7 linked regions of the Macaca fascicularis genome follow. The protein of the gene in region 1 interacts with the protein of each later gene in a pairwise test. Links are inferred from orthologs where the notes say so. Each region holds a gene or a part of one and is shown on either strand. Other genes may lie near its edges.

The links.
Region 2: the proteins of KRT15 (region 1) and PSMA1 interact in binary tests that used the Homo sapiens proteins (3 or more experiments, as listed by UniProt). The two-hybrid records come from large-scale screens. The link is inferred for Macaca fascicularis from reciprocal best matches to the Homo sapiens genes KRT15 and PSMA1.
Region 3: the proteins of KRT15 (region 1) and CCDC120 interact in a two-hybrid assay, tested with the Homo sapiens proteins (2 studies listed by BioGRID and IntAct). The link is inferred for Macaca fascicularis from reciprocal best matches to the Homo sapiens genes KRT15 and CCDC120.
Region 4: the proteins of KRT15 (region 1) and AMOTL2 interact in binary tests that used the Homo sapiens proteins (3 or more experiments, as listed by UniProt). The two-hybrid records come from large-scale screens. The link is inferred for Macaca fascicularis from reciprocal best matches to the Homo sapiens genes KRT15 and AMOTL2.
Region 5: the proteins of KRT15 (region 1) and LDOC1 interact in a two-hybrid assay, tested with the Homo sapiens proteins (2 studies listed by BioGRID and IntAct). The two-hybrid records come from large-scale screens. The link is inferred for Macaca fascicularis from reciprocal best matches to the Homo sapiens genes KRT15 and LDOC1.
Region 6: the proteins of KRT15 (region 1) and MOS interact in a two-hybrid assay, tested with the Homo sapiens proteins (2 studies listed by BioGRID and IntAct). The two-hybrid records come from large-scale screens. The link is inferred for Macaca fascicularis from reciprocal best matches to the Homo sapiens genes KRT15 and MOS.
Region 7: the proteins of KRT15 (region 1) and NUP54 interact in binary tests that used the Homo sapiens proteins (3 or more experiments, as listed by UniProt). The two-hybrid records come from large-scale screens. The link is inferred for Macaca fascicularis from reciprocal best matches to the Homo sapiens genes KRT15 and NUP54.

Annotation. Positions count from the first base shown.
Region 1 is NC_088390.1:62,554,406-62,557,095, forward strand, and holds the end of KRT15 (keratin, type I cytoskeletal 15), read right to left. Parts: intron 2,499-2,690; coding exon 2,278-2,498; intron 1,437-2,277; coding exon 1,411-1,436; intron 883-1,410; coding exon 785-882; 3' UTR 501-784; downstream 1-500.
Region 2 is NC_088388.1:51,236,940-51,240,944, forward strand, and holds the start of PSMA1 (proteasome subunit alpha type-1), read left to right. Parts: upstream 1-1,205; 5' UTR 1,206-1,308; coding exon 1,309-1,311; exon of another isoform or gene 1,312-1,698; intron 1,699-2,649; coding exon 2,650-2,694; intron 2,695-3,701; coding exon 3,702-3,803; intron 3,804-3,929; coding exon 3,930-4,005. UniProt on the Homo sapiens protein: Component of the 20S core proteasome complex involved in the proteolytic degradation of most intracellular proteins. This complex plays numerous essential roles within the cell by associating with different regulatory particles.
Region 3 is NC_088395.1:49,224,088-49,227,564, forward strand, and holds part of CCDC120 (coiled-coil domain-containing protein 120), read left to right. Parts: intron 1-267; coding exon 268-408; intron 409-808; coding exon 809-1,103; intron 1,104-1,474; coding exon 1,475-1,537; intron 1,538-1,899; coding exon 1,900-2,074; intron 2,075-2,192; coding exon 2,193-2,291; intron 2,292-3,477. UniProt on the Homo sapiens protein: Centriolar protein required for centriole subdistal appendage assembly and microtubule anchoring in interphase cells. Together with CCDC68, cooperate with subdistal appendage components ODF2, NIN and CEP170 for hierarchical subdistal appendage assembly.
Region 4 is NC_088376.1:37,267,084-37,270,583, reverse strand, and holds part of AMOTL2 (angiomotin-like protein 2), read left to right. Parts: intron 1-486; coding exon 487-800; intron 801-1,390; coding exon 1,391-1,611; intron 1,612-2,175; coding exon 2,176-2,355; intron 2,356-3,128; coding exon 3,129-3,187; 3' UTR 3,188-3,500. UniProt on the Homo sapiens protein: Regulates the translocation of phosphorylated SRC to peripheral cell-matrix adhesion sites. Required for proper architecture of actin filaments.
Region 5 is NC_088395.1:147,494,884-147,499,175, reverse strand, and holds the start of LDOC1 (protein LDOC1), read right to left. Parts: upstream 2,801-4,292; 5' UTR 2,692-2,800; coding exon 2,251-2,691; 3' UTR 1-2,250. UniProt on the Homo sapiens protein: May have an important role in the development and/or progression of some cancers.
Region 6 is NC_088382.1:66,085,278-66,088,165, forward strand, and holds MOS (proto-oncogene serine/threonine-protein kinase mos), read right to left. Parts: upstream 1,746-2,888; 5' UTR 1,662-1,745; coding exon 621-1,661; 3' UTR 501-620; downstream 1-500.
Region 7 is NC_088379.1:57,757,215-57,760,714, forward strand, and holds part of NUP54 (nucleoporin p54), read left to right. Parts: intron 1-2,432; coding exon 2,433-2,540; intron 2,541-3,500. UniProt on the Homo sapiens protein: Component of the nuclear pore complex, a complex required for the trafficking across the nuclear membrane.

The sequences.
Region 1 (2,690 bases):
GCCCTGCTGCTTATCATCCATCCACAAGGCCCGGGGCAAGTCATTTTTCTCTCTGCCTCCAGTGACCTCATCTCTAAGGTGGAAATAATAAATCCCGACCACCTACAATGGTGAGGATTAAATAAGCCCCCTGGGTGAGTGTGTGTGGCATCATGCCAGTCATGGGGTGGTGAACCAAGGCAATCAATGCAATCAGTCACTTGGTAAATATTCATAATTATAAGATGTGTCGAGTTCTGTGCTGGGTACACCAAACTGTTCTTAGGGAACCTTCCCACCTTCACTTCCCTGGTCACCCCATGGTGACCCAGAAGAGCAAATCACCTGAGTAGCACTATGTTTGCCCCAGCCACCAGTGCCCTGGGTACCCAGAAGAATTGTGGCCATGCAGGGAAGAGACCAAAGTAGGGGGAGATGTCACCACGTGGACCCTGGGTCTCCTCAGAGGTCAGAGGCCAACCAGGACCCCATCAACAAAAAATGGATATACTACCAAGAGATATTTGCAAAAGGAAAAGTAATTCTTTATTGCATGAACAGACACCATACAAATGAGCTTGTTACACAACGCAGCTGCTTCTGCACCTCCTTGCTCTAAAGAAGGCGGGGAGAGGTAGAGGGGGAACAGAGCGCATGCAAAGCCCTGAAATAAAAGACCGAGGGACCCTTTTCAGCTCTCTGAAGGCGGGGACTGGAGTTTGCACGTTCAGGCCCCCTGGCCAGTCCTCCACTTGGCCTGATGAGAGTGGGGAGTGGCAAGGGATGTTTCTCCTGCAATGGGCACTTAGATTTCTCTCTTGCGGGAAGAAACCACCTTTCCATCCACTGACTCCTCTACGTTGATGCGGAAATTGCTGCTGCTACCACCACCTCCAGAAGAGGCTAGAGAGAGAAGGAGCAGGCTTTAGAGTGGGGGAACCTCCCCTCTCTCCCAAGGTGGCCAGGACCTTGGCGAGGCTCTGGGAAAACTAGACAGCAGCCCTGAGAATGGCCACTGGCCAATCCCTCAAGAGCTGCCAGAGATCTGGTGTTGAATTGCTCATCACAGAGACAGGCAGTGGCAATGGCAGGTATGCCCAGCAGGGACAACAATGTCAGGGCTTTTCAAGCTGCACGTGAAGGGGGATGAATTGTGGGCATCTTATTGGAAGTGTATGAAGATGGGGCCTGGGGAGAGACAGGCCCTGAACGAAGCCTACTCAACCCGGAAGTTTCTCAATAAATCACCAGCCCCAATCTCACCTGGGGCTGACAGGAGGTCCCACCGGGGAAGAGGCATCTAATGGAACGGGAATGTTCCCACCTAATGGGATGTTTGGGCTCTTTTTCCTTCCTCCCTATTCCGAAGGGAGTGGTGGCTTCAACATCTCCCCTCCCCACCCCATACCAGAGGAGTGAGGCCCTTCCTACCTTCCCTGATGCCAATGTCAGCCATCCTGAAAGAAAGAAAGAAGCTGATTTAAGCAAAGGGCACAAGCTCAGGTGTCTCTAAGGGAAGCTCATGTAGATGCTATGCAGTCCTCTTCAGACCCTACACCACCGCCACCCACACACCTGACCCCTCTAGAGGTGGGACATCCTGCTAACGCATCCAGGCCTGCTACCCCCAAGTAGACAGAATCTTTTTTTTGTTTTGTTTTGTTTTTTTTGTTTTTCGGGGGTTTTTTGTTTTGTTTTGTTTTGTTTTTGAGACGGAGTCTTGCTCTGTTGCCCAGGCTGGAGTGCAATGGCACGATCTCGGCTCACTAAAACCTCTGCCTCCCGTGTTCAAGTGATTCTTGTGCCTCAGCCTCCCCAGTAGCTGGGATTACAGGCACCCGCCACCACGCCTGGCTAATTTTTGTATTTTTAGTAGAGATTGGGTTTCACCATATTGGCTATGCTGGTCTCTAACTCCTGACCTCAAGTGATCCACCCACCTCGGACCCCCAAAAGTGCTGGGATTACAGGTGTGAGCCACCGAGCCCTGTCCAAATTGTGAACTACAAGAATACCCATCTATTTCATGCAGAGAATGGAATGAGCACTAGATCTTCACTACCACTAGCCCAGCCTCTATCATTTACAGAAGAAACATGGATCCAGAGAGAGGAAGTGACCTGCCCCAGGTAACAGCCAAGGACCAGAGTGCAGAGTCCAGATCCTCCCTCCTTGCTCAGTTCTCTTTTCACAGCCCCTCAAGGCTGCTTAGGGACATCCTGCCATTCCCTTAGGATGACCATGCTCCGCAGCCACAAGCAGCCCTCATCACTCCTGCCCCGGTGCCCAGGCGCCTACTTGGCATCCTGGCCCTCCAGCAGGCTGCGGTAGGTGGCAATCTCCTGCTCCAGCCGCGTCTTTATGTCAAGCAGCATCTTGTACTCCTGGTTCTGAGCCTCCATCTCGCATCGGAGCTCACTCAGCTGGGCCTCCAGGCCACCGATGAGCCCCTGGATCTGCTGCAGCTGCGTGGCATAGCGGCACTCTGTCTCAGCCAGCGAGTTCTCCAGCCCAGCTTTCTGGAGGAGTGACAGATGCATAGACACATCAGACTAGAAAGGAAGCCACTGAGGGCAAGCGGGGAGGGGGCACTGAATGGAGTTCAGGGAACCACCTCTTGAGGGGGCTTGAGAACTCCAAGGCTTAACTAGCCAGGAAGGGTGGGAGCTTCTACCACCCGAGAGGCTGGGATGAGGCGAGGGTGGCTGTAC
Region 2 (4,005 bases), on another chromosome or scaffold:
TTGGCCAGGATGGTCCGATCTCCTGACCTCGTGATCCACCCGCCTCTGCCCTCCAAAGTGTTGGGATTACAGGCGTGAGCCACCGCGCCCGGCTTTTTTTTTTTTTTTTTTTTTTTGAAACAGAATCTTTGTCGCCCAGGCAGGCTGGAGTGCAATGGCGCGACCACGGCTCACTACAACCTCGATCTCCCGGGCTTAAGAGATCCTCCCACTTCAGCTTCCCGAGTAACTGGGACCACAGGCGCATGCCAACATGCCCAGCCTTTTTTATTTTAGTAGTATTATTATTATTGTAGCGACGAGGTCCCACTGTATTAAAATAATATAGTGATCTCGAACTCCTGGGCTCAAGCGATCCTCCGCCCTCGGCCTCCGATAGTGCTGGGATTACAGGCTACCGCACCCAGTCTCTTTTTTTACAAAGAATGTAAATAGCCGGTGGATGTTAGATTGGCAGCTGTTTGCAAAGATGTCAGACTATTTCATTACGGAAAGATGCTCTCAAAAGACAAAATAGGTAAATCGAAAGAACGTGTCCATTTTTTCTCAGTGGCCTAATCAGGTATCATGCTTGGTTTTGAGGACACAGAAAGACAGCGCCCTCATGGAGTTCAAAGTCTGGTGGAGGAAACCAATCATAATAATAATGAGGGGTTAACGACAACAGAGCCTTGAAAGATAACATCTCCAGGGAATAAGGAAGAGCATTCCAAGGTATTTTGCCAAATGGCAAAAACCGCGGTTACTTTTGCACCAACCTTAATACAAATAAAAGCATGTACACAAACAAGATACTCGAGGAAGAATACGGCTGACACACAGAAACGGATCGTTATCTTGGGGCTTTCCTGCAGCCTCGTTTCTTTCAGTCACGTAACACCCCAAAATCTGTGGACGGTGAATGAGAGCTAGTATCACCCGGAGTCACGGCTGTTGCCTCGTAAGACTTTAGATGCAGCCCGCCACCGGGAGAAACTGGAGGGAATCCGCAATACACAGGAACCAAGAAGGGCTACGTGACAGAGGGTCCCCCGCAGCTCTCAGCCGCCGGCACTCCCAGCCCTGGGTTTCCCGCCAATCTCAGTTACTAGATCTTCCCAGGCTCCGCCCGCCGCCGAGCGGTCGGAGAGTTTTAAGGAAGGGGAAGTGTTGCAAGCCTATCGATATCTCTGGAATAGACTGCGCTACCCTGCGCCGCCGCCATCAGACTCCCGCAGACTTCTCTGTAGATCGCTGAGCGATACTTTCGGCAGCACCTCCTTGATTCTCAGTTTTGCTGGAGGCCGCAACCAGGCCCGCGCCGCCAACATGGTACGTTGAATCCCGACCTCTGGAAGGTTTAGGGCAGAGCTCCGGTGACTGGGGGATGACGAGCCACCTCTCCTGTCATCCTTAGCGCCGCCCGGGGCCACGAGGTATGGGAGCCTCGGCAGACGGCCGGGCTCCGGCAGTGATTCAGCATCTCCGGCCTGGCCGGGCTAGGGGCTGTCGGTAGCCAGTGCGGCCTTTCCACCGCTTTCGCTTCCCGGGGAGCCTCCGACACTTACTCCTCTGTCAGCTAGATGAGTTCGCCCCTCAGGTTCCTTCAGTGGAGTAGATTCTGAGCGGTCCAGAATAGCCCCTAGTGCTGTGTATGGGAGAGGAGAAGACAGAGACTTGGAGGCCTACCTGTACCACCAGTGCGGACTTGACCCCCAGGTTTGTGTTCCTGGACCGCGTCCATTTTCCTGGTGGGTCCGTCTGATTTATCTCTCCCCTAGACTTCGGTTAGAAGAGGCCCTTTTCAATAATTTTGTCCAGTCACCTATTTACAGATGAGTAAGCCGAGGCTGAGAGGGGAAGTGATGGAATCTGGGTTACAACATAGGGTTCTGGGTTTCCAGTGCTGTGCTCGCACTCAATCTCACTCCCGTGATTAGTCTCCCCAGCACTGCTAGACTTGTTATAATAGTCATAATAGCCGTAATGGTTCTATCGCTGCAGCTGTTTGTGTCCACCTCTAACTTTCTGAGGACATTTTTGTTCATTCAATATGAATATACAGACAGAGCATTTGTACAAGCATAACTACAGTGAACGTTCAAAAGTCATACATGTCCCTAATCATAAAAGCAGAAAGGGACGTTTAGATAAAGAACTGTGGGAGTATGTGTTAGGGGGATTTGGGAAGAAAAGCTAATCATAAAAACAGAAAGGGACGTTTAGATAAAGAACTGTGGGAGTATGTGTTAGGGGGATTTGGGAAGAAAAGGAGAAGACTTCCAGAAATCGACATTTAAGCTAACTTAAAGAAGAGAAAGGCTTTTAACCATTTATTAGGTCCCAATAAAAGGGAGCAGCATAAGCAAAAATAGGCAAGAAAGTTGATTGTGAACTTTAGTAATTGAGCCTAAAGGGATTGCTATGGATGGTTTTAGAATAAGAGGTTGGAAAAATAGGACCCATTTAGATCTGCTTCTCCCTCTCCCACCAGTTTATGGTAAATGTAGAATTGGCTTACGTCTGAGTACAGTAGTAATCTTCCAGTAAGATTGCATGAACAGAGTGCCTTAACATTGAATGGAAACACAAGCATATTTCTTAATGAATGTTAGAGTTGGGATTTGAAATGTTCTTCTATTAACAGGTCTTTTTTTCTTTTACTTTTAGTTTCGAAATCAGTACGACAATGATGTCACTGTTTGGAGCCCGCAGGTAAAATAATGTTTTTTAAACTATTTCTGTGAAATGGCTTTTTGTGGCTGCAATATATTTAGAAGCTTGTGAGAGCATAGGCTTGGGGAAAATGGAATATAATATTTTAGTCGTTCTTGGAAGTTGCATTTATAATTAAAATAGGTCTCCTAATGGACCTAGAGGACATTATGTTAAGTGAAATAAGCCAGAAACAGAAAGAAAAATATTTCATGCTCTCACTTATATGTGGAATGTTTTGTTTAAAAGAGCAAATATATATATAGAGAGAATAAAACAGTGGTTACCAGGGTAGGGAATAGCAGTGGGGAGGAAAAAAGAGGAGATACTAAGTATCAAATATGTAGGTTGAGCAAGTGGAAGGATCTAAGGTACAACATGAAGACTACAGCTAATAATGCAGGTAGTGTTTTGTATTCAGGATTTTTGCTAAGTGAGTAGTTGATAGCTCTTGCCACAGCAGAGGAAAATGGGTAAGTATGTGAGACAATGGATGTGTTCATTCTGCGATAGTGACCCTACTATATATGTGTATCTTACAACATCATGTTGCATACCTTAAGTATATACAACAAAATTTATTTTAAAAGAAGCTTTTGGCTAGGCGCAGTGGCTTATGCCTGTAATCCCAGCACTTTGGGAGGCCGAGGAAGATAGATTGCTTGAGTCTTGGAGTTCAAGACCACCCTGAACAACATGAAACCTGGTCTCTACAAGAAATACAAAAATAAGCTGGGCGTGGTGGTGCCTGCCTATAGTCCCAGCTACTGGGGACGGTGATTTGAGAGGATTGCCTGAGCCCAGGAGGCAGAGGTTGTACTGAGCTGAAGATTGTGCCACTGCACTCCAGCCTGGGTGACAGAGTGAGAACCTGTCTCAAAAAAAAAGTTTCTTGATTTAAAAAAAAATCAGTTGAGATTTAACTATGCCCACCTGACATTTGAAAACTCTAATTTTTAAGTTATAAAAGGCCTTCTAAGATGTGGTTTTGTTTTTTTTTTCTTTAGGGCAGGATTCATCAAATTGAATATGCAATGGAAGCTGTTAAACAAGGTTCAGCCACAGTTGGTCTGAAATCAAAAACTCATGCAGTGTTGGTTGCATTGAAAGTAAGTAAAGTAATAAATATGTCTTCCTCTGTAAAAAACTATTAATGTAAATTTCACCATAGACAGTGAGGTTGTAAACTTATTTTTACATTTTTTTTTTTAACATCTTATAATGTCTCCATTTAGAGGGCACAATCAGAGCTTGCAGCTCATCAGAAAAAAATTCTCCATGTTGACAACCATATTGGTATCTCAATTGCGG
Region 3 (3,477 bases), on another chromosome or scaffold:
ATCTCAATAGTGTCCCCTTTATAAAAATGAAACAATTCTGGATTCCAAAGCAGGTTTCCCTGCCTCCCATGCCCACCACCCCAGGGGTTTGGGCCACTGAAGTTTGGGCACACCTGCCTGGTGGAAATACTGGGAGGGGAGTATCATGCATGGGTGCTGAGCCGGGCCAGGCTCCTGGTAGGACTTCTGTGGCTTCTGGGATCATTAATGCTTCACCCCATCCTTCCAACTAACCCTTGGTAGTCTCTGACCCCTGCCTCCCACCAGGAGCTGACTGGCCAGCTGCCCCCTGAGTGCCCACTAGAGCCTGGTGAACGGCCCCAGTTGGTCCGCCGGCGGCCCCCCACAGCCCGTGCCTACCCTCCACCACACCCCAACCAAGCACACCACTCCTTGTGCCCTGCTGAGGTGAGCAGATGGGTGTGGAGAGCAAGAGGGTGGGGAGAGGGGACAGGTACAGAGGAGTAGCCAGGAGGAAGGTGTGGGGAGGGGGGCTTGTGGCCAGGTGAGGGAGCTTGTGGCCAGGTGAGGGAAAGGCTAAGCTGAGAAGGAAAAGGGCTTCTGGAGGTAGGTTCCTGCAATGAGGGAGGATGCTGGTCCCTAACTGTCAGGACAGGCCTCCCACCCTCAGGAAGATGAATCGACCCAGCCCTTCACCCTGACCCGCCCCCTCCCCCAGGTGAATAAGCTCCACCTGTAGGTGAATAGGCCTGAATAGGCTGCAGGAAGTACAGGCCAGCCTCTAGTGGGTTTGGCCCCACCAGGTCCCTGTTCCTGGCCATTTCCAACATTTGGGTGGGCCTGACAGGAGCTGGCTCTTGAGGCCCTGGAGCGTGAGGTGTCAGTGCAGCAGCAGATCGCGGCAGCTGCCCGTCGCCTGGCCCTGGCCCCTGATCTGAGCACCGAGCAGCGCCGGCGCCGTCGCCAGGTCCAGGCAGACGCACTGAGGAGGCTGCACGAGCTAGAGGAGCAGCTCGGGGATGTCCGGGCCCGCCTTGGCCTCCCAGTGCTCCCGCTGCCCCAGCCACTGCCACTGTCCACGGGGTCAGTGATCACCGCCCAGGGAGTCTGCCTGGGCATGCGCCTCACTCAGCTCAGCCAAGGTGAGCATCCCCTGGAGAGGGTGGGAGAGTGGACACTGGCAAATGAACGTGGTAGGGCTGGGATGGCTGAGTGGCCAGTGAAAACCGGGAGGTAGGCACAGCTCAAGTGGCCCAACCCGTGAGAAGAGTTGTGACAAACTGGCTTACCGGAAAGGACAAACTGTGGGAGACTGATGAATATCTGCCCGGACAGTCAGGAACCAAGCTGGGGTGGTCTTGGGCTCTGGTAAAAGCAGATTCTTGGGAAGGGAACAGGATGAGGCGGAAACTGGCCAGAAGGTGGCCCAAGTAGAGGTGCCCACCCAGTGGTGTAAGGGGGCGGCACCCAGGCCTGGGAGTGAGAGGCACACTTCTCCCCCTCTCACCTATAGAGGACGTAGTTCTGCACTCAGAGAGCAGCTCCCTCTCAGAGTCTGGGGCCAGCCATGACAACGGTGAGGACTCCTGTCCCCCAAACCTGCCCCCGACTCCTATGTCCCCTCAGCCCATCCCCTTTATTCATCCGACCACATCCTGCATGATCAGCCCATCCTTTGATGCCCAGCCCCTCCTGTGCTGCTTCAGCTTCTCCTTAGCTATGCTCCATCTTCCTGTAGGTCCCCCATCTTCTTAGCCTCACCCCACCCCAACCCCCAGCCCCACAGCCCCAGAACCTACTCGTCAGCCTTAGCTCCTCCTCAGTCTGCTTAACCTGTCCCAGCACTTTGCCCCTCCCCATGGCCTTGCCCACGAGCCTGTCCTGCCCCCTCTGGGCCCCCCTCATTGAATTCTATCCCACTTGCTCTCTTCCACTCAGAGGAGCCCCATGGCTGTTTCTCTCTGGCCGAGCGCCCCTCACCACCCAAGGCTTGGGACCAGCTGCGGACAGTATCCGGGGGGAGCCCTGAGCGGCGAACCCCATGGAAACCACCCCCATCAGATCTTTACGGGGATCTGAAGAGCCGACGGAACTCTGTGGCCAGCCCCACCAGGTGAGAATGAGCCCCTCCTCCCCTCCGCAGGAGCTGGGAATGGGATAGTAAGCCTGGGCTGGCAGAGGGTCTGCTGGTGGGTACAGTCTCTAACCTAGGCCTGCCTGTCACTGTCTAGCCCCACACGCTCGCTGCCCAGGAGTGCCTCCAGTTTTGAGGGGCGAAGTGTGCCTGCCACCCCAGTCCTCACCCGGGGCGCTGGCCCCCAGCTCTGCAAGTAAGGGGAATCTGAGGGTGGCCTGGAGGATCAGAGGGGAGGGAACCATTAGTTCTCACTGGAAGCTTGAGGACGGCATTATCAAAAGGTGTGGGATCGCTGGGCGCGGTGGCTCATGCTTGTAATCCCAGCACTTTGGGAGGCCGAGGTGGGCGGGTTACTTGAGGTCAGGGGTTCAAGACCAGCCTGACCAACATGGTGAAACCCCATCTCTACTAAAAATACAAAAATTAGCTGGGTATGGTGGGGCATACCTGTAATCTCAGCTACTTGGGAGGCTGAGGCAGGAGAATCGCTTGAACCTGGGAGGCAGAGGTTGCAGTGAGCTGAGATCAAGATTGTGCCATTGCACTCCAGCCTGGGCGACAAGAGCAAAACTCCATCTCAAAACAAAAAAACAAAAGATGTGGGACATGGGAGGCTGGGAGTTAAAAGTGAGCAGGCATCTCGGTGGATAATGGGGTAGAGATTTGGGGCAGAAGCATCAAAGTTTTGAGTATGGGCTTTTCTGTGCATTTTGGACAAGCCATTCTCCTTTTCTGAATCAGTCTCCTCATTTGTGAAATGGAAATAATAGTATCTGCCTTTGAAAAACATGGACATAATAAGTTCTGGTTAACATATACTGAGTGTCTGCCACCTGCTAGGAATTAGTGGCACCAACTCATTCAATCATAATGAGATCCCTGTGAGGTGGGTGCTATTGTTATTCCCATTTTATAGATGAGGCAAATGAGGCACAGAAAGGTTAAGTAACTTGTTAGTAAACTGAAGTCCTGGAGTTTGAGCCCAGGCAAGTTTTACTCTAGAGTCCATGCTTTTAACCATTGTCCTCTTCTGCTTCTGCTTCTTAAACAGAGTGCCTACTTTCCCCAGGCTCTGAACAAAACCAAGTCCCCGGCTTGCATTCTGTGAATGGTGGCTGTTGGGATGGTAGCTTTGGGTGGTTCATACATATGGTTGGATAGAGAATTCAGGCAGGGTTTTACGTGTGGGCCCTAAGGCCTAGGACTCAATCCTGGAGGCCGTGGGAGCCGTGAGAAGGGCCTTAGCATGGGGAGGGGTCAGCTGGATTAGGAAGAGCCCCCTGCCCGGCACCTACTCTGCTAGCCTTTCCTCTGAGTCCCTACACAGATTTACACCTCTCTTGGAGCTAACAGTGCCAGGCCTCCCCCACGCATTTCTA
Region 4 (3,500 bases), on another chromosome or scaffold:
CCCAGCCACCAGCCAGCTTTTATATGCCTCCCTGAGATTGGGAGGAAACATGGTTGCCCTAATCCATAGTGCTTAACCTCACTTTGGACTTCTGTGTAAACAACTCTTGGTGTTTACAAACCAAATAGCTATTTCTCCACTCCCAAACCTACCCTTGTGACAGAGTTAGCATGGCTGAACCCCCGGTTTGCCCAGTTCTGTTCTAATTTACACCAATTTTCCCAGTATAATTATTGATAGCACCCCCTTTGCCAGTTCGGAGGATTATTTGTTTGGTCTCTATGCCCTTGGCCATAGGATTCAGGGCAGGGGTATGGGGACCTGTGCTGTACCCCCATTTCGGTAGAGGAAGGATGGGGAAATGTATGCTGTGTATGGCCGAACACGCACATGTAAGAGTGACAGTCCTTGTGTGGAGGCGAAGACCAGTGGCTGCCGCACCCCAACCTCCACCCTTGACCACGGTCTCCACTCCTTGCTCTGCAGAGACAGGCAGGCACCCCAGGTGGTGGCAGTGGCAGTGGCAGTGGCGGGTCCCCAGAGCTCAGCGCCCTTCGGCTGTCAGAACAACTGCGCGAGAAGGAGGAGCAGATCCTGGCGCTGGAGGCCGACATGACCAAGTGGGAACAGAAGTATTTGGAGGAACGTGCCATGAGGCAGTTTGCCATGGATGCGGCTGCCACGGCTGCTGCCCAGCGTGACACCACTCTCATCCGACACTCCCCGCAGCCCTCGCCCAGCAGCAGCTTCAATGAGGGTCTGCTCACTGGTGGCCACAGGCACCAGGAGATGGAAAGCAGGTTCGGCATTGCAGGCCAGGCACCTGAGGTTTGGGAGGCGGGTGGCAATGTCCAGTCACTGCCCTGCCCTTGATCCCTGATAAACAAGCCGCTTTCCCCACACAGCTCAGCAGTCCCTCAAGCAAGCTGAACCTGCATGCTTGGCACACCAGGCGCTGTAAACTTGCATTTGCCTAGAAATACCGAGTCCTTGGTCTACCCAGGAGACTCTTACTGTGGAGGTGTTGGGTGCCGTTTAGGGCTTAGGCCCTGCCTCCTCTCTCCGGAGTGCTGCCCTCCAGGATGAGGGCTGTGCCTCCACTATCATCTGATGACTCTGGAACCCACCCTTGATGGCCTGCCTTTCCTGGTGTGGGAAGGGCCCAGGGCCTTATGCACTGGTGGTTTTCAGAGCCTGGGCTCTAAGGGCATCACATGCCAGAGCTGTGGTACCATTTCTAAGCCCCCTCTAGGTCCCTGCTACAAGCACAGAAAGATCCAGCCTGGCCGGGTTAGGGGAGGGGGGGTGCTTTTCCTCTAACTCCTATGAGGCGGGAAGGGTGGCTGGATCTATGGGTCTGACAGTGTGGGCATGGCCTCTCACCCCTCAGGTTAAAGGTGCTCCATGCCCAGATCCTGGAGAAGGATGCAGTGATCAAGGTCCTTCAGCAGCGCTCCAGGAGAGACCCTGGCAAGGCCACCCAGGGCTCCCTACGGCCTGCCAAGTCGGTGCCATCTGTCTTCGTGGCTGCGGCAGCAGGAACCCAGGGCTGGCAAGGGCTCTCTTCTAGTGAGCGACAAGCAGCGGACGCCCCTGCTCGGCTGACTACAGGTAAGAGGAGGCTGCTGCTGGGATAGATTGAGAGGTAGTTTCTCCTGGGCCTGAACACAGATTGCCAGACCTTTCCTCCCAGAACTGAGGCTCATGGGAGCCAGGGCTTCCTGATTGTCTCCCAGGGGAGCTGGCTTATTCTCTACCTCCAGTGACTCTACAGCCCATGGCTCTCCTGCCAGTGTGAAGAGGGGTATTTCGTCCCCATCGCCGTAAATTCCATCATGCTTTAGCCCCAGCCACTGAACTGAGAAAAATAGAGCTTCCTGTGCAGATGCACCTTCTATGCAAGCCCCCTCCACTCTTCCTTCTAAGCAGATGCCACAGAAACTCTAGAAGATTTAATCTACAAAGAAGGGTCCCACCACCCAAAACATTTGGAAGCCAATCCAATCTGGTAGTCATTCCCATTTTAAAATAGGAGCATTTTTAGTCTTAAAGTTCTTGCAGATCAAGAGCAGCCCACTCCACCTTGAATCCCCAGCAAGGACAGTTAACTTACAGTGTCCTTCACCAGGGCCACATCTTACAGGTGTGGCAATAACCATCCACCTACCTTCCCAGCAGACAGGGCACCCACAGAGGAGCCAGTGGTCACACCTCCCCCTGCTGCCCATGCCAAACACGGGAGCAGAGATGGGAGCACCCAGACTGACGGCCCCCCAGACAGCACCTCCACCTGCCTGCCACCGGAGCCTGACAGCCTTCTGGGGTGCAGCAGTAGCCAGAGAGCAGCCTCTCTGGGTAAGTCCTTCTGACCCCACTTCTGTGCTAGGCAGGGCCAGGGGAGCACTGGGGTGTGAACTGGAACACCAAAGCCTTTTCTTCCCAGCCCCCTCGGGGTCATTGCCTGTACTCCATGGGGAGCCCTGCATAGCCAGAGGTGAGCAGCGTGCCTGGCCCACCTCACTGTGAACATGAAGGGTGGCTGGCTGCATGAATAGGGAAATTGGAAACCCTGATTAGAGGCAGATCCAGAATTCAGAAAGAAAGCAACCAGATGGGAGGCACTTAAGCTCCTCTTTCATGGTCTTCCCTACATAGTTAATTTCCAATTTGATTATCCAAGAGAATGGAGCTTGCAAGTCATGCCGATGGCACTCTGGAAGCCTGTTGAGAGTCCGGGAAAGAGAAATCTGAGAAGATGCCATTTCTTTTTCCACTCCCCTTTCACACTGGCCTTTGCATATTTGCCTGTGCCTCCTGATCTCAGAAAACCACAGGCATGAAAAGAATGCTGCAGCCTCCCTCCCTCAGGCTCTCCATTGCTCTGTCTAAGCCCTCCAACCAGTTCAAAGTTAGAAACAAATGCATCTTACACATCGGAGGTTGGTGGGCTGGGCTGAGCACTGAGAGGGTGCAGAGCATTGTGCTTGGTTGGCCAAGTTCTGGGAACCTGGGCAGCAGAGGTGGGAAAAGTTGGTGAAGAAAGATCGTTGTATTTAAAATGTGCCAGGATTTTAAAAGCAATCTAGTAACACTCATTGGCATGTGCCTGTGTTCTTGTCTCTCTCCAGACTCTGTAGCTACATCCAGAGTCCAGGACTTGTCAGACATGGTGGAGATACTGATCTGAAGGAGGTGGTGCTTCAGGACTCTGAGCCATTCTCTCCCCTCCTCTGCCCTGTGCCACTCTCAGCCATTTCAGCAGCCTGTCAGCCGCTGCTTTGTCCCTTTCCCCAGCCAGACTCTCATTCCCATTGACCATCTGGCCCCAGGAGCTCAGGAGGAGGACCCCAGGGGAGAGGAGAACTGTGAGAGCACCAGCACCCCCAGAAGACTCTGCTTCTTAGCCCACATTCCTCCCGGCCTTATGGAGAATGAGGATTCAGCCTTGACTTGTTGCCCAAGGCCTGCTACTGGGGTAGCAACTGACAGCTCAGAAAGGT
Region 5 (4,292 bases), on another chromosome or scaffold:
TACTCACCCCTGTCCCCACCCTCCAGAAACAGCTATCCTAGGTGTGAGATATAATTCCTACCCTGAACTTTGCCTGTTCACCACGTAAACAGCTTTGTTTCTTGCTTCATATAAGACTTCAAAAAGTAAATGGGGTCTTATCATGCTCTCATTTCCATTATCGCTGAACCTGCTCTGCTCCTCTTTACGCTGACATTTTCCTACTAAAGCCACGCTCAGAGCCAGAGACTTGCTTCCTGAGAATTCTGTCCCCAGGCCCAGGAGTAACAGCCCATGGTTTACTGAGTGCTCACCATGTAGCAGGGAAAGTTCTAAATGCTGCATGGGTATGATCTCATATAATCCACACCTATCAGGTGATTAATATGAAGCCCCATATCTCATTTAATCAACACTGAGGTTTACCAGTACAAATGAAATATCTTGCCTCAAAAGGCCTTAAACAGTAAGGAAATGTGTTATCTAAATTAATTAAAGGTTATAAAGTGAAGTTGGCTCCAGACATGGTACAATGAGGGAGGACATCTGGACAGATATAAATGAGAACTCTGAACCCCTCACATCCTCCTAAACCTTTCTAAGAGGTAGTCCTGTCAAATCCCCAACCAAGCTGCTCTGCATTAAACATTTCAATGACTTAACCTGGGGCAATGGCCTCACACAGGTATGCAGTTTCTTCTCAGCAGCCACCCCCTTCACTGCTCTGAACCCTCCAGGCCCAGAGATCTCAGCATAGCCCCCAGATAGCAGTACAAAGTCTGATTTAAGAGATAACCAAGCATCTTGCTAATTTCCATAGGGAGGAATCTGGGACACATCTATGAGTGGAAATTCTAAGGATGTCTGCCCAAGGAGGATGAAATGTTTGTTAAGATCAGGGTATATCTTTATGGATGCACTTGCCCAGGATCTGGGACTTAATGTTAGCTAGAGCACCTGTAAGTGACATGTTGGCTATTTGGAGTTTGAAAGTGACAATGTACTATGTTGGCTCTCTGGAGCCTGAACTCAACAGCTGCATATAGGCAATAAGGATTAAGGGGCAGAACTTCCCTGGCACAATATTAAGGAATCCAAAAGCTCAGAGAATTAGGAGCAATACATATATATGTCCTGGTTTATGCCTGTTGTTATGGTCTAATTATTAATACTGCCCTCTTTGCCATCTGCTCAGCCAACCCTTACCCATGCCACCCTGGAGGACCCAGAGAACACACCCTTTGCCAGGGCTTTAAGAAATGCGTTGGTGAAGGAAGCATCAGAACCCTGACAAAGCCCTGAGGTAGCTGTCCCCAGCAGCCTGGAGTTGACAGCAGGGATTCCTAGGATTGGTTGTATTCCCTGATTTCCATGGGAATAACGGTAGTCACAGTGACAGTTCTAGAGGTCAGTGATAGCACTTAACTATTAAAAGACAGTCATTTCGTTTTTTAGTGCTTGATATTTATTGAAAATAATGCCAATGCTTTTTCCAGGTAGTATTGAGGAGCTGGGCTGAGTGCTTGTTTGTTTTGTTTTTAGTACTATTTGTCCAAATGCATACATCTGTGGGACTGCTGCAATTTTGAAAGAAAAATGACAGCTGTGTAAAACCAGTGCATAGGAAAAAAGAAATATCAACAATTTGGCTGTCAGGCACACCGCGCCCCTGCAGCAATCTGGTATGGCAGGGGAGGACACTCGGAGTAGGTAGAAAACTAACCAGGCTGAATGATTGGCCTCTTCAGGGGTTGGTGAGCTGTCCAAATCAATGTCCGAAGAGGCAGAGCCAACTCTGGCATTTTCCAGGTTGGTCCTGATCTCGAAAGGCGGTAGTCTGTAGGTGGGATGTGGTGAGTGGATGTGAAGTGGCAGCATAGTTCTCTGGGCAGATGTAAGCCTGGCAGCAGGGCAGGTGGCAGCAGCAGGGCTATGGGTGGTCTGCGCAGTTTGTAACAGGGGCCTGGCCAATAGCTGGGGTTCAGGACACAGTTCAGATTAGCAGGGGAGGGATCCCCGGGATGGCCAGGGTAGATGACACTTCCAAGCACTTCCGAGTGAGTGAGGCTCCAGCCCCAACCCCAGCAGCAGGTAACTGGAGCACTATTCCTGGAACAAAGACAAGCACTACGGAGAAATGAAGAAAGAGCAGACGGGCGCGGGTAGGGAAGGGGACCGGAGGGCAAGGGGGAGAGCAGTGGCTCCTGGCGGGGTGAGGGCTGCGGGGAGGGGGTGACGGCGTGCAGGGCCCTCCCCCCGAGGCCCGAGGGCCTAGTAATTATCCTCTTCGTCCTCGTCGTCGTCGTCTTCGTCGTCATCCCAGCCAAAGCACTGTTTCATCTCATCGAGGAAGGCTCGGTAATCACCTAGGATGGGGCTATCCATCTCGATGTAGGGCACCACCCACTCCTCGGCTTCCCCGGTGAGGAGACTGATTAGGAATGCCACCTTCATGGCGTCGTTGCAGAATCGGTTCTCGTTCACGAGCATGTAAGACGCTGTCTGCACGATAAACTCGGGGAGCCGGGAGCTCTCGCCATTAAACGTTTCGGGGAAGGGCACCGGGCAGCTCGGCGGACGTACCTGGCGCAGCAGGCTGGCCCTCTCGCACACCAGCAGCCGCAGCTGTTCCATGAGCTGGCTGTTCTCGATGGTCAGGGCGCGGTGCCGCATCAGGAGCGCGTGCAGCAGCAGCACCAGCTCATCCACCATTGCGAACAGCCTGGAAGGACAGGGCTCGGCTCGGTTCGGCTCGGCCAAGGTGCGCACGGAGGCCTCGCAGGAAGTGCGTGTCCACGGAGACGCTCGATGGCCAGGGGCTGGGGGCGGGGGGCGGTGCGCGCCGGGGTCCGGGAGGCTACGCAAGCTCCGCCCACGAGGCCATTCGGACGGATGGTGCGCCGGCGCGGCGCGGGAGGGGCGTGGCCAGACTGGGGGCCGCGGCTGCGTGGGGGCGTGGCCGGGATGGGAAGGGTTTAGACAAAGAGGGCGTGGCCAGGAAAAGGATGCACTGGGTCGCTGAACCACCGGCTTGTGGTAGGTCTCTAGGCGGGCAGTTAAAGGCTGGGGTAGGCTCCCCTAGCTCCTGGTTGTGGGGCCTGCGTTAGCAGAGGACCTGGCGAGCGCTGAGTTTGGTCTCAGAGAAGGCAAATTTGTTCAAACTGAAAGGATTAGCCACCCTTCTACCTAGGCAACTCTCACAACTCAGTTGTTCCTTCGTGGGTCTGTGGCCACTAGATTCTCTTGGCGTGATGTTTTATTAACACATTTTCTTTCTTGTTTAAATCTCACTCAGAGAAGTATTGACACTGCTGGCTGCACTGTGGGACTCACACTTCCTTTTAGGATCATGAAGACCTTCAGGGGTTCCTGCCTTTCATGAAAAAGGCAGTATTTAAACAGTGACTTCTTTAGTAGGGGAATAATACGGCATACTCCCTTAAAACAAACAAACAAAAAAAAACAAACCTAAGTAGCAGGATATAAAGAAGTTTTGCAAAATGAGCATCCAATAATCAATTGCAGGCATCCCACATATCTTTGATTCTCTATTTCTTGTCCTGCTGTTAGTGCCTTTGGCCACTGGGTTTTATTCTGTACTTAAAAATGAACTGTTAAGATGTTTGTGTTTTTAAATAATTTTGTTTTTCTACTTTAAACGGATCCCTGATCCTAGAGCCGACAGGAATTGTTGGCTCTGCTTTCAAATATATTGCCAATTCAGTCATGACTTGTCATTTCTACCACTGCCACCCTGATCCCCAGCCTTTCTCACCCAGACTGCTGCAACTAATCACTTAGCTTTCACTCTTTTCTTCCTATAGTATATTCTCCATAGAGTAGCCACAGGAATCCTTTAAAACAAAAATTAGGGCCGGGCGCGGTGGCTCACGCCTGTAATCCTAGCACTTTGGGTGGCCAAGGAGGGCGGATCACGAGTCAGGAGATCGAGATCATCCTGGCTAACAGGGTGAAACCCTGTCTCTACTAAAAATACAAAATATTAGCGGGGAGTGGTGGCAGGTGCCTGTAGTTCCAGCTACTCAGGAGGCTAAGGCAGGAGAATCGCTTGAACCCGGGAGGCGGAGGTGGCAGTGAGCCGAGATAGCGCCAGCGCACTCCTCCAGCCTTGGTTACCAAGCGAGACTCCATCTCTAAAAAAAAAAAACAAAAACAAACAAACAAACAAACAAAAACAGTTAGATCCCTTCACGCCCCTGCTCAAAATCCTCCAGTAGTTTCACCTCAGAATAAAGAGCAAAGTTGCAGCCAAGGCCTACAAGGCCCCTCCTTCTATCCTGTGCCTCTTCCCA
Region 6 (2,888 bases), on another chromosome or scaffold:
ACCAGGTAAAAATGACCCAGTTTAGAAGTGTTTTAGTAAAATGTCTCTACTCATTGCATTGCACAAGTTAAAAATATTACAATAAGTCAGTTATAATTCCTTTGACTGTAAATGTACCTCAGTGTATGACTTTTATGTGTGAAGGTCATTACAAACAAGAAGTTTTACTGGGGGGAGTAGTAGGAAAGCATTACTTATTTTTTAAAAAGTTTTTACTGATTTGGTGTGGGAGCAAGTACACTGTTAATAGTTGGAATTTATGTGGTAGGTATGGGATATATATGGATTTATAGAAAATTTTGACATTTCTGCAGTGGAGTTCTGTTTTGGACAAAGTGTTTTATCAGTAACAAATTTGAATAAATGAAATACTATCAATGGAGGGCAAAGCACAAGCACTAATCTTATCTGAATAAGATTAGTTACTAACAGTACTGAGACAACAGGTACTAGATTTGTGGCTTTGCTATGTGTCGTAGAAAAAGCATTGGAGACTAAAGGAGTTTTTAGTAACTTTATTTTCTAAAACTCCATCCCACAAATATGTTTTCTTCGACATCTCCACTTCCTTTAAAAACAAACAGAAACAGACACAAGCTTATCTTGACGCAGGTTTTCAGTCAGCCGAATTCAGCTTTCAAAGAGGTGAGATCCACCAAAAGCAGCCGCGCGCTCGGCCTCTGCGCCGCGCTGGGTCTCCAGCAGCGCCGGATGACGTCCCCAAGGCGCTGCCCGGGGAGCGAGTCCTGGAAGACGGCAGCGGAGAGGGACGGGCGCAGGTCGTAGGCCACCACTGCGTACAGTATGTGCTGCCGCTCCCCCGAATAGGGCGCCTGCTTGGTAGTCATTTGCCAGAGAGTGATGGCAAAGGAATAAATGTCGGCTTTGGGCGTCACTCCCTCTCCTTTCAGGAGTTCCGGGGCGCGGTGGGTGTATGTGCCTCCAAGGGGGTAAAGGGGTGTCTGGAAGCACAGCAGATCTTCCAACTTCTCAGAGCAACCGAAGTCACTAATTTTACAGACATCCTGCTCACTGATCAAGATGTTCGCGGGCTTCAGGTCCAAGTGCACAATGCTTTGCGAGTGGAGGAAGAGCAGGCCGTTCACAACATCTAGGGAGTACTTGAGACACTTTCCCAAGGTTAACGGTCCTCCAGTGCTGCAGTGAGGCTCCCCCGCGTCCCCCTCAGGGTGGCCGGCGGCGCCGTAGATGACTTGGTGTAAAGTGACGTTGCCACCGAACTCCATGATGATGGTCCCTAGGCTGTTGGACCCCGCGGGCGTGCGCGTGCTGGCAGCCACCACGCGCACGATGTTATCGTGGCGCAGCCTTGCTACGTTGAGCTCAGCCCAGAAACTCCGCCGAGATGCTAGTCGGTTCTTAGTGCACTTGTTCACTTGCTTTATGGCCACAGGAACACCGTGGTAAGTCGCCTTGTACACCGAGCCAAACCCTCCGGCTCCCAGCCTCTGCAGCAAGCACACCTGCTCCCAGTCAATGGAGCACCAAGCCAGCCGGCGCGGCAGCCGCGGGGCCCGAGGAGGAGTGGCCCCCAGAAGCAGCTTCGCAGGGAGCTCTGAGGGACTGCTGCAGGGCCGGGCGTCCACCGACGGGGAAAACTCGCCGGGGAGGTAGGGGCGTAGGGCCAGGGGCGAGGGCATCGCACTTCGCAGGGGGACACCAGGGCCGCTGGGGTGAATGAAAAGACCAGGGGAAACCGCGGGACTTTGGAAACATGACTGACTACTCCTTGGCTCCACCCCTATCCCTTTTCTCCTTTTCCTTCATTTGTTTCAAATGAGCTACATCTGTGCTGTCACTCAGCAAGAGTTTTTATCAGATGGAGGGAGAAACCGGAATGAAGCACAGCAATCCCTTTCAGATGAAAGCATTTCCCTTCCACACTTGAAGTGAATTCTTATAAAAACAAGCTCATGCCAGATAAACAGCATGGAGCTGCCCCAGAACTCACCCCTCTTTTACATTATTTGTTTAACTATAATGAAATACTTTTTTTCAAGTCACATCCGCTGCACATTATCAGTCCTCAGACTAAAGAGACCACAAAGCACAATGAAATTGTTTCACACTTTGCAGGCTATAATGATTGTTAGTGTCATTCTCCAGCTGCATTAAATCACTTCCAGCAGTTATTGGCTGAGAGTTGAAATGCAAACAGCAGACATTTGTTTAACCAATTACAGGGAAAAACTAGGTGCAACATTCATATGGATAAAAAATTGCAACGTTAATCAATCCAAATAGAATCACTGATACAGGTCATAACACACACCTAAATTCATCAGTGGAAAGGAGAATCCCCTGACAGTCTATGCAACTTACACAGCAAATTAGCAAGACGTCTTAGCAACATATTGACTTTGTAACAATCCTTCCCTTTCAAGGCGATTTGGCCCACCCGGTCAGCTCACTTGCAAGAGAGATTCTAGACTTTGCAGTGAACGAGTTACAGAAGTTTTGAATCAGAGTTGGAGGAGAAAAAAGAACAGAATGATTCAGAGCTGTGATCAGGGCTTCAAATAATAACACATATGGGAGAATTGTAGAAGAGGAAAAATCTGAAGAAATAAAAATGGCACAAAATCACTAGTACCTACATATAATGTAGAAAACCAGAAGTTGGAATGAAATTCAGGGTATTGGCCATCAAACAACAAGTTCTTCCTTTCTGATTTTTATAATGAAAATTAATTTTCTACCAAGTGCAGTGAGTCATGCCTATAATCCCAGTGCTTTAGGAGGCTGAGGTGGAAGGACCACTTGAGGCCAAGAATTTGAGACCTGCCTCTACAAAAAATAATAATAAAGTTAGCTGAGTGTGGTGGCGCACTCCTGTAGTCCTAGCTACTTTGGAGGCTGGGGCGGGA
Region 7 (3,500 bases), on another chromosome or scaffold:
TCCTCAAAATAGCTGCCCCATGTATTCCATCCCAGTTTTATAGCTGTATTAAATGGGAAGATTGGGGTTGCACGTACTTAGTTCATCTTGTCCAGAACTTAACATTGTAAATATCTTCTTCTCATCTCTCTGTTAACTCTGTCTTTGGTGTCTGTAGTTGAAGAGAAATCCTTAATTTTAATGTAATGATATCCATTAAATGTTTGCCTTGTGTTTTCTTTTTGGGAATTTGCCTCAATAATTTTTCACCCTAAATTCTGAGAGTATCCTACATTTAAAAAAATTTAGAGTTTAACCTTCCACATTTGAGTCTTTTGTTGTCATCATGGAGTTTACCTTTATATCAAGTATGTGGTATGAACCCAGATTTATTTTTCTCTAAATAGTGGGTCCATATTTTTAATATTGCCTATAAAAATGTGATATTCCTCAATGATTATCAAAGAATTTAAATTACACTAAGTTTCCATATATATGTGATCTATTTCTAGACCCTCTCTTATGTATCATTGGTCAGTTGGTCTGTTCTTATACCCACCCATTCCACATTTTTTAGTGTTAGGGCTTTGTAGTGTATCTTAATATCTAGTAGAATGAATCTCTAATCTTGATTCTTCTTTTCAGAGTTTTCTGGGTCTTTATGGATCTTTATTCTTCCATAAAAACTTTAGAATCAATTTGTCAGAATGCTAGAATTATGGTTGGAATTGCATTAGATGCAAAGACTCATTTGCGAGAATTGAATTTTAATATTAAATCATTTCATCCATGAATGTGGTTTGTCTCTTTAATCCTTGTGGTCTTTTATGTCCTTTAAAATAATTTTTAAATATTCCCTTTTAAAATCTTGAGCATTCTTGCTTGAGTCAATTCCTAGATGGTTTTAGTATTTGTTAGTAAATACTGTGACTGATAACATGTCTAATTTTTTTAGTTATTACTGGTAGGAAATAATGTCGTAAGTACTCTTGTATCTAAAAACCCTGGTGATTTTTCAAAATTGGGATGGGAGATTGCCTAGGTTATGTAATATAAAACATGACCACCTAATTTTGTCCTTTCAGCATGGCATGGCATTGGAAAGTTTCTTTAAAAGGTGATGTGCGCAGGTAGATGTGCTAAAATATGTCTTGCACAATCGTCTTATCCTCTTTCTTATAACATGTTAATATAAGCCAGTGACATAGAATGATTAATTATGATAGAGACAATTATGGGATTAATTCTGATTGGGATGCTTTAATAAAATAGTGAGGTTTTAACCTACCCTGTAAGGTTAAGACTTCCTAAGGCAGAATAGTGGATTTCAGTCAGGTAAAATAGCAAGTCAAACATCCAGAGGCATAAAAATGTATCCTGCTGCATCATTAATATCACTCCTTTTCCTCTGCACTCTGATGACTCCCTCCAAGTATTCTGTAACAGTTAATGTTGAAATGTACTGTACTTTCTGTCAATAGTTACATACAGGGCTACTTGTCTATTAAGACACCCCCTAGATATCATCTTATACATCTTAACTTCTTCCATTCAGACCTGGTTGTTGGCTGTATTCCATATTACTTCAAATTCCTTAATTTCCTCTCTCTCCGCCTCCCTCCCCCCAACCCCTACATGCTGGAGTGTGATCACGGCTCAAGTCATCCTCCCACCTCAGCCTCCTAAGGAGCTGGGACTACAGGCATATAGCACTCCACCTGGTTAATTTTTTATTTTTTGTAGAGACAAGGTCTTGCTATGTTGCCCAAGCTTGTCTCAAAATCCTGGTCTCAAGCACTCCTCTTGCCTTGGCCTCCCAAAGTGCTAGGATTACAGGAGTGAGCCACTGTGCCCAGCTGTGTGTGTGTGCGCACGCGTGTGTGTGTGTGTGTGTGATGGAGTCTCACTCTTTTTTTTTTGTTTTTTGTTTCTGTGACATGGAGTCTCACTCTGTTGCCCAGGCTGGAGTGCAGTAGCACGATCTCGGCCCCGTCCTCTGGGTTTAAGTGATTCTCCTGCATCAGCCTTCCAAGTAGCTGGGATTACAGGTGCGCGCCACCACGCCCAGCTACTTCTTTGTATTCTTAGTAGAGACGGGGTTTCACTATGTTGGCCAGGCTGGTCTTGAACTCCTGACCTTAAGTAATTTGCCCGCCTTGACCTCCCAAAGTGCTGGGATTACAGGTGTGAGCCACCATGCCCAGCTTATTTTTTTCTATGTATTGCCTCATTGCTAAATTTCCTAGAGCTGTAAAGATATCTTTGCATGATTCTTTTAAAAAATTTTTAGGTATGTAAAAAGGGAAGAAATATAAGCATAGATTTGTAGGGAAAGAGTTTATATTTTGAGGGATGCATCTCCGGCTTATCCCAAGATTAGAATTTCCATACAGGTGTAACTGATAAATAGTTGTGGTATTTGATTAACACCCCCCCAATTTTTTCTTAAACAGATCATATCTGAAGATATTAGTGAGCTACAAAAGAATCAAACTACATCTGTAGCCAAAATTGCGCAATACAAGAGGAAACTCATGGATCTTTCCCATAGAACTTTACAGGTAGTAATTTGGATTTTTTTCCCCCAGTGTTTATAAGGCTGTGTATGTGAAATAATGTACTAAATATGGATTTTTTAAATAGAAAAAAAAGACTAAAATAATAATGTGAAACTAGAAGTACTGAATTCTTTCAGTAGAACTTTGAAATTGGAAAACAGGTCTCATAGGGTTGAGTGAGGAGAATAAAAATATCCTAAAGTTCATATTTTAGTGAGAATTTGAGGGAAAGCAGTGAAGAAATAAAGTATCTTAGTGCAAGGGAAGCTTCTGTGAGATTATCGATGTCTCATAAATTTCATAAAATAGTTCAGAAAATTTTTTATTTTGAGTGCTAGAAAAAGGAGTGTAACCATAATGGTCGAAAAACAACAATAGAATTTACAAATTAACAAGAGGAATTAAAAGAATAATAACAACTGAAATTATAAACTATCATGAAAAGAGAAATATTACATACCAGTACCAATGGGAAACAGCTGTGAGATTATCGATGTCTCATAAATTTCATAAAATAGTTCAGAAAATTTTTTATTTTGAGTGCTAGAAAAAGGAGTGTAACCATAATGGTCGAAAAACAACAATAGAATTTACAAATTAACAAGAGGAATTAAAAGAATAATAACAACTGAAATTATAAACTATCATGGAAAGAGAAATATTACATACCAGTACCAATGGGAAACAGCCAAATCTGTACTCAGAGGAAAATTTACAGTCATAAAAAATCTCATTTTAAAAGATCAAATGTGAAAAATAAAGGAACTGAGTACTCAAATTAGAAAAGGAATATCAAGATAAGCCAAAAGAAACTAAAAAGAAAGAAAGATAAATGTGAAATTAGTGAAAAACTAAAAAATGTAATAGTGGAAAGAATAAATTGTAAAACTGTTTCTTCGAAAAGACCATTAAAATTACTAAGCATCTCATCAACTAGAAGAAGGGAAAAGCAGAGCAAAAGAC